Xenopus tropicalis: one gene and its partners. The protein of the gene in region 1 interacts with the protein of each later gene in a biochemical or structural test. Links are inferred from orthologs where the notes say so. Each region holds a gene or a part of one and is shown on either strand. Other genes may lie near its edges.

The links.
Region 2: the proteins of runx1 (region 1) and elf2 form a complex in vitro, tested with the Homo sapiens proteins (2 studies listed by BioGRID and IntAct). The link is inferred for Xenopus tropicalis from reciprocal best matches to the Homo sapiens genes RUNX1 and ELF2.
Region 3: the proteins of runx1 (region 1) and dtx2 form a complex in vitro, tested with the Homo sapiens proteins (2 studies listed by BioGRID, with this or other methods). The link is inferred for Xenopus tropicalis from reciprocal best matches to the Homo sapiens genes RUNX1 and DTX2.

The regions. Positions count from the first base shown.
Region 1 is NC_030678.2:13,968,945-13,972,417, reverse strand, and holds the end of runx1 (runt-related transcription factor 1), read right to left. Parts: intron 1,972-3,473; coding exon 1,475-1,971; 3' UTR 580-1,474; downstream 1-579.
Region 2 is NC_030677.2:61,147,894-61,151,551, forward strand, and holds part of elf2 (ETS-related transcription factor Elf-2), read right to left. Parts: intron 3,282-3,658; coding exon 2,952-3,281; intron 1,787-2,951; coding exon 1,159-1,786; 3' UTR 1-1,158. UniProt on the Homo sapiens protein: Isoform 1 transcriptionally activates the LYN and BLK promoters and acts synergistically with RUNX1 to transactivate the BLK promoter. Isoform 2 may function in repression of RUNX1-mediated transactivation.
Region 3 is NC_030678.2:94,417,179-94,420,836, forward strand, and holds part of dtx2 (probable E3 ubiquitin-protein ligase DTX2), read left to right. Parts: intron 1-2,153; coding exon 2,154-2,730; intron 2,731-3,658. UniProt on the Homo sapiens protein: Regulator of Notch signaling, a signaling pathway involved in cell-cell communications that regulates a broad spectrum of cell-fate determinations.

The DNA of each region.
Region 1 (3,473 bases):
TATATTAGCAGTATTTGAAACTACAGCGCCATCTGCTGTTCTCTTTGGTCAACTTCAGTTGGTTGAAAACTAAAGGTGGCCATACACAGGCTGATTGTAGCTGCCGATATCAGTCCCTTAGACCAATTCGGCTGCTTATCGGCCCGTGTAGGGGCAGAAATGACGGCAATGCCCAACCGATATCTGGCCTGAAATCAGCCAGATATCGATTGGCAGGTTAAAAAATTTAGTCGGATCGGGGACCGCATCAGCACGTTGATGCAGTCCCCGAACAGATTGCGCCTATTCCGCGTTCTAATTCAATCATTTGGCCCCAGGGCCAAACGAATTAGCATGAATTCACCCGATATCGCCCACCCAAAGGGGGGGATATTGGGAGAAGATCTGCTCGCTTGGCGACCTCGCCAAGTGAGCAGATCTTAACGTCTATGGGCACCTTAACTTTGTGAGAAAAGGATAGTCCTGTGATATCTGTTGGCTTATAAATAACCAGATAACTATCAGATGCCTCTTCTCTGCTCACTAACTTCATTTTCTGAGCAGAGACTTTCCTCTTCTCCCAAAATTCATTTTTTGAAGTTAACAAAAATAAACAGTAGGCGGCACTGTTGTTTCAAAGTGTAAAAAGTGCTAATATATCGAAAACAACAAAACAAAAGCAGTTCTTTTGAGCACTGAGAGGGCAAAATGAGCATCATATCAAGTTCTTTTGAGCAGATCAGATCTATCAACCTTGTCCAATCAATTTGGGGAAAAAGAAATTGCATTTAAATAAAAGTCATTCATTCCGATATAAAATAAACATGTAAACAATAACCTTGTATCGTTTGGAGCGTACAAGTTTCAGCGGATACGGACACCCTGAATTTCTCATCAACGTATAAATACAACGCACACTTTTGGCGGCGGGGACCCGGCGGGCCACTGAGCGGCGCCACTGAGCGCAGGAAATCTTACAATAAAAATATACAAAAGTTTAGGTAAAAAAATGGAAAAATGATAAATGGAAGCTAAAAATGCAAAAAGCAAAAACAAACCGTAAGGTGCCTATTAACAGGGCTGCAAATGTTGAAATTTCAGAGCAGGGTCATTTTTTTTTTAAACTTTTTTTTTCCTTTTTTTTGTTCATAGGGACTGACATTATATTACATAGGCCGTAACAAGCCGCAAAGCCCAGTCTTTCTAACGTTCCAATAATTTAGCGTATGGTTCTGGTTCAGAAAAAACCCCCACATATATTTTAAATCTGGGTTAAAATAATTTAAAAAAAAAAAATTGTAATCCAAAATATGTTGAAAATAGTAAATCCCTAGGAGGAACAGCCAGTGGCCTGTCTGCGTATTCTCTCCATGTCTCCTCTGATCTTTGCCTTTTCACAGCGTCGCTAAACCAGAGGATTTCACAGTTTTTCCACCTCGCCAATATCTCGTCCATCTGACGTGTCCTCCATTTGTTCCATGTCTGTAGCAACATCTCAATATGGCCGCCATACAGCTTCCTCAAGCCTTGGGGTGGTTCCCATGTTGGTAGGAGAGTTGCTATGGCTTCCTTCAGCCTCCACAACATCGTTTTGGTTTGGAAGGTTAGGGTTCAAGAGAGTGGACCCCGTGGAAGCGTTTGTGCAAGGTGGGAGGATGCGAGGCGGGGATCGGTCTCCTCCCGACATCATCGAGAACTGGTGGTAGGATCCGGCCGATGTTCCGTAATAGAGATGGTAGGATGGGGAACTGGTCTGAAATGGGCTGCTTTGTGCCTGGGATGATCCAGGATATGGAGGGGGTAGGTAGGTGTGATACCTGGTGGCGGAGGTCATGGCTGACATACCGATTCCTATACCTGAAGTGACCGGGGTTGGAGTGTAGGTAAAAGCCCCTGGGTAGTGCATACGGGGGTCCGAGATGGATGGAAGAGTGGAGAACTGACGGTCAATGCCGACTCGAGGATCACTGAAAGCAGTAAGGTCTGAGGCTCCTGAGAAGAAGGAAAATAATGAACACTGTAAATATCTAAAATAATGTCATTTTCTGCACAAACACAACTATTGGTGGTAGAACTATAGAAACAAATACAATATGGCAGCACACATGTCACAAGGTGTATGGAAACTAGCTGGGAAATGTACCTTGTGACCCAGACCAACTTTCCTTAGCAGAGAGAAAGATGGCCCTGTGTGGAAGTGGTATGATCCACACCACTTCCTGGTTGCCCCTGGTTATGGTTATGTGTGAGTTTGGGGGGGGCAAGCTTTATCCTGCACAAAACAAAAGCTTTTCATTGCTCCATTTGCTTTCAATAACAGTCTCAGTAACTCAGTCAGAACTGAATTCATCTGCAGTTGAAGACACTTTTCCGGGGCCCCATGTCCCATGTACAAACACTTCAAAGCAGACATTTTCCCTTTGAGGAAACATCAGTTTTCTTTGTGAATCAGGTCCCAACTCGCCTGCAGACAAACAGTGCGGCACATAATTGCCAGAGCTGGATTTGCTTCTTTGTTGGGGATAAGATCAGCCATTTCTCATTGTCTTGTCTCTATCTTAAATATGGAATTTAGGCCTTAGCGTTTGATCATACTGTTACATTCTGGGGTCTGTGGACTGATGAAATGATTGCATCTAAAGGGGAACTTATCATCTGTCATCCTGATATCCCAACAGTGCACCCTGACCCAATGTTTCCTGGATATGGCCAAATGAGTGTTATAGTCTGACCGCTGGACCAGAACAGAGAAATAAGGATGTGGTGAGGTTTAGGGTACCCGTCAGTAACAATGGCAGCAAAACTACAGAACTCTGCTACTGGAGCTGAGAGGGACAATCTTATGTAGAGTCCTGGCTGAGGAGCCCCTCTGTGCAGATAGGTTTAAAGACCGAGTTTAGAGCCAAACTTGGCTAATGGAGCAAAACCTGTAAAATGATCACAGAACCTTTCATGGGTGATGGAACCACTCTGGAGTTAGACTAATGCAGCCAAAACAGATGGTGAAAGAGACCAGTCTAGACGTAAATGTAGGCTAATAGAGCCAGTCTAAAGCTGAAGCTAATAAAGCCAGGGCAGAGCTGGAGCTCATGAAGCAAATGTAGAGCTGGTGCATGTGGAGCCAACTGAAAACTAAAGCTAATGGAGCCAGAATAGAGCTGGAGCTAACAGAGTAAGTGTATGGGTGAAGCTAATGGAGACAGTGTAGAGCTGAAGCTAATGGAGCCAGCAGAGAACTAGAGCTAATGGAGTCAGAATAGATCTGGAGCTAGTCTAGAGCTGGAAATAATAAGTCAGTGAAGAGCCGGTGCATATAGAACCAGCTAAGAACTAGAGCTAATTGAGCCAATGTAGAGCTAGAGGTAATGGAGCCAGTCTAGAGCTGGAGCTAATGGAGCTGATCAGGAGATAACGGAGCCAATCTAAAGCTTAAGTTAATGGAGCCAGTGTAGAGCTGGAGCTAATGGAGCCAGTCTAGAGCTGGAGCGAATGGA
Region 2 (3,658 bases), on another chromosome or scaffold:
TGCAGTAAAATCTACTCGAATACACTTTGAAACAAGAGTACAACAAAATAGAATATACTTCAAATGTTGAATATACAAACTATTTTAGTTCATTCTGAACACTGGTATTTACCCCCCATGCCCTCCCCTAAGCAACCCACCTTCATAACTTCAACTAAAAAAATAGCAGGCTTCAAACTCTATAACCCAAAAATGGACACATGCTTCATGGTGACCTTTCAAATGGATAGCATAAAAACTGAAATGTTTGCAAGGGATTCTGGCAAAAAAAACAACAACAAAAAAAGCATGTTACATTTAAAGGCTCCTCTGACCTGCCGTCTCCGCCATGAGACAGTTTGTACCCTCCCGTGAAAAGCTTTCTGCTCGAGATGCTTCAGGCCTTCCCAAAACACTCAGAGATATAACAAAAATGAACAAAAAAAAAAATCATACTTTTAACTACTGTATAAAATAGGTTACGTGTAATTCTATACCAATACTGTGCTAGGTACAATGGGTTTTTTTTTTCTCTTTTTACATTTTTTTTTAATATGTATAAAAATTGCTTTACATAAACAAGCTGTTAGCTTATTTTACAGAAAATAAAACTAAAAACGAGTCTAAGGCTTTAATATGAAATCTGCATCTGTCATCCCCTTGCGGAACTCAGTGGGCGTTATTTCCCTGCGTGCGCGTTGGTACAGTTTATTTAGCCTACAATACTTATTGAGCAGTTTCTCCCGCATAGCACCGATGAAGTGAGAGCTGTCTGCACACACAGCAGTACACATTTCTTTACCATTTACATTTACTGTGGTTCTGGGATAACAACCTCCTGCGATGTCATTTAGTGTTCCTCTTTATTTTTAGTGTAACAAAAAAAACCTGAAAAACGAAAACAATAGATCTGAACAATCACTTTGGTCCCTTTCAGTTTGCTTTTTCTTCCGATGCCTTAGGAACATTTCATAACATGAACAGATCCCACTGAAAACATGGGAACAGAATTCATTTCCAGTCAAGTTTTTCTTTTGTAATTTGCGTATATTTATATTGTCTTTGTTTAAAGTCTCCGCAGACTTCCTCACTTCTTTCTGTCCAGAAGTTTCGTTTAATCAGCGTTTGATTCTTAAATGTCAGTTTAACACAAAATTCTAGAGACGCAGGCAGGCTTTGTCACTTTTCACACACCACACTTGTCTCTTGTTTGACAGTAATGGGGAGGTTGATTGCGGAAGGGGTGCTGACAACAACCACATGGGTAACTGTTTTGCCCCCATCTGCAGGTTTATCGTCTTTAATTAACTGAAATGTTTTTATCTCTCCCTCCTGTCTGCTCACTACCATGTCTGATTTAATTTCAGGTCCTTTGATAAGGGTGCTAATGACCCTAGGGGGAGTCTGACATCTGGCTTGCTGTGCTGGCATTGCCAGTCTCATAACTGGAGTTCCATGAGCTATTGAAACAGGGGTAAGTGCTCTCACAGTCAGTGGTGTTCCCACAAGATTTAAACTCCCTGACCCACTTAATCCAGGCTTTGTCTGCAACTGACACTGGGTGAGTTGGGAAGTTGGAATAGTGATTATTTTGGCAGGTTGCACAGTGAATTTGTCTCCACTTTCAGACGATGCTGGTAACATTGTAGGGATTGTCTGGATGACAACCTTTGGAGCTGATGCTGTTGTTGGGCTGCTGTTTGCAATCAGAGGAGAACCTGGATTCACCGACTGAACAGCCAAAGTAGAAATCTTCTGCCCCAAAGATGTCATTACTACAGGCACTTGCATGGCCACCCGGACAGTTCTACAAAATAAATAGAAAAGAAAAAAAAAAAAGTTATGTATTAACCTTGCTGGTGTTTTAACTAATTCTAAAGCGGACAACCTATGATAAAATGCGTAAAAGTAAATTTAGGTTTTAGGAAGGTAATGCAGAATTGTGAAGCAACAACTTTGGGATATATGTATTCTGCAGTGCAAAGTCAGTTGGATGTTTTTGTTTGGATACGCTCTTCACCCATGGTTTAAATAAGGATTTAGAATTCCATCGGTTTATTTATGTGCTTATGTTGGATCATTATCTGGGCACATTAGACTCCAGCTTTACACAACTATAAGAATTGAGTCTTTATGTAGGAACGGACGGTACAACAAAAGTGGAACAAAGGGCATCTGCCTTTAGTGATTGTTCAGTGCAATTTGGATGTATTTTTCTTTTAGTGATAGATACTAGGAGGTTTCCCCATGACTGCAAATGCAGCCCCAAGTTAACTGGAGACTCAGCTTTACACATTTAAAATAGGAACATTGTTTCTTTAACGTGATGAGTTCAGTATGGAGTACATATACTGAAAGTTTTATACAAGAAATGTAAAATGTTTTTACATGACTATAATTTAATGTAATGCATTTTCACTTGAAGTATATTACTGCTATATGTCAACAGGTCTAACAAAAAAAAAAAAAAAATGGGTGAGTGCAGAGGATCTCTTGACTTTATTCCATCCCCATCTAAAGGTTGAAAATTTACTGGTGAGCATAACTTTCCCCCTTTTTTGCTATGGTTTATACAGAAGCAGTGGCCAGCTCCATGCTGTAGCTCCCACCCATCCCAGCTACAGTCAGGTGATGCCAGTGGTGGCCAATAAAAGGACAACCATTGTGAATGAAGTTTTAACCTTAAAAAGCAAATTGCATGTAAAACTCACTGTGAAAAATGTATAATGAAGCAGTAGAATTCTTATTGAATCAGACGAGACAAAACATATGGTCAAAAATCTGTTAAGGGGGGGGCATGTTATAGCCGCTTATTGCACAAAATTGCATGTGTGTGTGTATATATATCTTGTCTTTGTCAACAGAAGATAGAGATATAGATAAATGGATATGATAGATAATTGATATATGATCTGTGTTAAGATTTATATGCACTTTTAAGTGAAAACAAAATGTGGAAGACACCAACTGACCTCTGTGGTGCTGTTGGCGTGGTGCTGGTGGGTGAGTGAGGTGATACCTCACTGACAGGAGAGGACAAGCTAACCAGTCTTGGCTTCCTATTAGAACTCTGCTGGGTTGGGCTCTTCTCTAGCCTAGCCGGCATTGCCATTTTCATGATTCCTTCGGTGGGGATGGAGACTCTCTCCAATGATTTGTCATCTATGGGAGACACCATCTCTTCACTACAGGGCTCTGCTTTGTCATCTTCTATAACCACAATGTTCTTGGGCATCTCTTTGAATTGGTAGACCAACCTCTGACCCTCAACTTTTGCAAGGATCCCTCTCTGGTAGTAGTACCTGCATAGATAAAACAATGTCAGTATCAGTGAGGCCAATGTTAACATTAATATAAGCTTAGCAGCTTGCAAGTCTCAAATTACGGTGAAACACAACTTTTTTAAAGCATAACTATTCAAAACACATTTCTTTTCATGAGTATGATTGCACAGGCATTAGATCTTTTGCTCAGAATGTATGGGACCTGGGATTTCCAGATTAGGGTTCTTTCTAGAATTTGGATCCCCATAATTTAAATAAAAATGAAATAAAATATAAACCCAGAAGGACTGTTTTGCCAACAACATGATTTGATGCAATATAGTTACCATGTAGTATAAGGTACTGTTTATTACAAAAAAAAAAAAAATGAAATAATTTAATCAATTTAAATTATA
Region 3 (3,658 bases), about 80 Mb from region 1:
GACGTGTTTGGGTTAGTATGATCATACAAGCATAATTAAATGTATGTATGCATGTCTATTAGTATATTCCTTTGTGTGGATTAAAGATATAAGACTTTCATGCAAGCTACATAAACCAACCTCTGCAGTCTGACAAGTTGTTTTCATTCTGCAAGGTTTGACTCATCTAAAATGACTCTTTTTGGGTGATTTTTGTCTGTTTTATGTCCCTGCTATTTTTCTTAAGGAGGCAACACGGCACTACTGTATAGTGCCATAGCCTGCCAAGCTGGCTCAGAGGAAAACAATTCTTGAAAGAAAACAGAATGAGTGTCATATCATAGAAATAAGGAACTTTCCAAATATAATAAATTACAAATTCTGTACGGTTTCAAAAATAAAGCTGTTACTCTTCACTATTCCCTTCTTCGTAATCACCCTTCATGCAGGGATCAGATTTTGATTGACAGGTCAAATACATTGTTGTGTGCTCCATTTGCTTGTGTTTTTAAATCTGACTTTCAAAATAACCAACCCTCACTGCATGTATGTTGAGAGATTGGGATAGTAGCCAGTAAAATAGAGGGGCATAGTTTCTACTACACAGGGGAAGGGCTTTGTCTTTGTTTTCATAATATTCATAGTCCAATCCAAAAGCATAGGATTGCCTTTGCTGGATGGGAAACACTTAGGGTGAAGACACACGGAGCTACTTAGTAGCAGCTACTTGTCACAGCTACTAAATGCTAGAAAATCCCCTGCCCATAGTGAGAATTGCCTCTGCTAAAACACACATCGAGACAGTTATCAGTAAATTATCAGCATTGTCTCTTTTAGTAGCCACGACAAGTAGCTGCTGCTAGTAGCTCCATGTGTCTTCACCCTTATGGCAATTACTAGCACAGTCAGACTAGCATTGTTTGCTTCACTATTTCAAGATATCCCTGTTTGACAGTCACCAGCATCTGCTTAAAGTTTGGTCATAAATATGCCAATATAATTGTTGTATGCTTTTTGGTGTGTATATGTTGCAATTTTGACAGATATCCATGTATTATAGATATTGATCCATTATAGATATTGGTCCATTAGAATATCAAACAAGCTTAACACTTTTATTCTGCTGATGAGCCATATGACAGGGTCCTGGATGTAATAGGCTAGGTTAGGGTAAGAACATCAATATTCCCAGTTTGTTAGGCATGTGATAATCTCCCGGTAAGCCAAAAATGCTTACCTTCTGTCTGGTCCAGTGTTACTCTTCTATTAAAAAGCAATGGCAGGTTAGGTTTGGCATGGATTGACAAATTGTCAAAACTAGCATCGCTAGTGTTAGGCATCTTTCAGTGACTAAAAAAAATGCTAGCCTTCTGTCTAGGCCGCTGTACACACATTGTTACATCACTGGCCAATTTTTTGGGCATCCCCCCCCAAAACAGCAATTGCGCAAAAGTGAACACAGTTGTATGCATTGATGCCATTAAATAAAGAAACTTGTGCCCAAATGCACTTTTTTTAAAATTTTCCTAAAGCTGAATTTGGCTCACGTGCTTCCATCCCATCTCCTGTTGTAAATTGTAAGCACTGGCACTGGGGAAACCTGGAAATATTGCCACCTACAATCTAGAGGTAATGCCTGGGTTCCCACTGTGGGCCGGAATAGTGCTTTTGTACCAAGATGAAAAACTAGCACAGTAAACCCAATGCTATTTTCAGTTTAAAACTCCAAAACTGTTTAGCTCGCGCACAATTTAAGCTCAAATTCTTTCGAATGGTAAACTGCGTTGCGCAAATCTGTAACGCTGCATAATTTCGAAAAGTTAAGGCTGCAAATGATGTTCCTTGGAATATGCAGTAATAGCCCTAAAGTGACAAATCTAGACTCCAAAATGTTTAGCACAATAGTCCGAATGGGCTTTACTAGCATTGGTGCAATGGTCTGATTCATGACGCAGTTTGTGAATTCGAAACAAGCTGAAGAATAGTGTCTGAAATAGCACTTTGCACACTGCACTTGTGGTGGTACATGAAAAAATCCCTAAAATGTAAAGCTTGTGGCATAAATCTTCATAACTGTTATTTGCTGGATTAAAATGCACACTGCAATTTCAACCTATTTATGTAAGCAGGTGCTGTCGTCTTTTGTTAAATAATTTTCTCTATTTGTTTACAAGGAACCATGCGAAGTGTGAGGAAATCACTTTATGCATCAGATTCTGCACCAGCCAAAGGAATTTCTTGGGAATGGATGAATGATGAAGCATGTTGGACTGCTTATGAAATGCCAATTACCATATACTTAGATGAAAATTACTGCAATAGAAGACCATTGGTGGATCTTGGAGCATTTGGACTCCCCTACCAGGCTGACTTAAACTCTGGCATTCAGATAAATAAAATGACAGGTTTTAGAAGACAAATTCAGAGAAGAGCTGACATTCCTTATCCGTTAACATCAGCAATGGGACCTGTTCATAAATCTGCAGCATGTCTTTGTCACCAGTGCCTAGCCAACAGTGCAGCGGGTCCTATATCTGGACGTCACCGACACTCCATGATAAACTTGCCCACCTCCTCTGGTAGCCAGCTTTCTAGGACTTCATTTGCATCATCCTTTAATGTTGGTTATGTACCCTATCCAAAGCCATCAATGGCCATTTCAAAGTCCACACCAAAACTTAATAGCACTTGGTTAATCTCTCCAGTCCCTCTACAGTTTCCAGGACCATCATCATCATCTAATGGAACCAGGTAAGTGAAAAGCCCTTCCAGCAATGGTGCAGCATGCTAATGCACTTATATGGGTATGATAGCATTAATGCTGAATGTCTGCATAGCACATTCAATTGAAACTTTCTTTTTTTCTGGAAAATTGTAATACTATAATAATCCTATGCTTACAAACAGTACATTATAGTCGTAACTTACACTATACACTGGATGAGTTTTTTTTTATTTTTCTTGATAGCACATTGTGTATAATCTCTTCCAGCAACTTGCATTTTGCCTATTAAATAAAGTTAAACTATTTCCCTCAGAAAGATGTCTTATATTGATGCTCTTGCCTTGAGTATGTGTTTTGCTTCTGGTCTTGCCCTACTTCTTACACTTTACCATGTGTCACATTTTTACCAGCTTAAAGCTGGCCATACACGCAACGATAATATAGGAAGAAACCTCGTTTCTTTCCTCACTTTTCCTCTCACCTCTTCCCTTTTTGACTCACCTATACTTTTTCTAACCATTCTGCTTTTTACTCTTTCCACTTTCCACTTACCCTCACTTCTTCTCTGCTTTTCTTTCCTCCTTTCCTTTTTTTTCTTACCATACCTACATTCCCACATTCACATTTTATGTGCTGTCCATTTTATATCTATGACCTCCATCTCTCCACTAGCTGCATTTTACTCATTTGATTTTTATTTGAATGCAGTTTATTTTTTCTTTCCTTCTTGTTACCTTCCACACACACCCTCTTTTTCTTACACATTTCATCTGTTATTTTTTTTTATTGGTTGATTAAAAGTTTTCAAATAAACATGAAAGCCAAACAGTTTTGGTTTTGTTAAACATCCATACCTTTTCTAAACTTATCCAAATATATCAGCTGTCAGTCATAATGTACTATCCTATCTTTCCCAGGTGGGCTTGCTTTTGTAGCTTACAGTAAAAATTATAG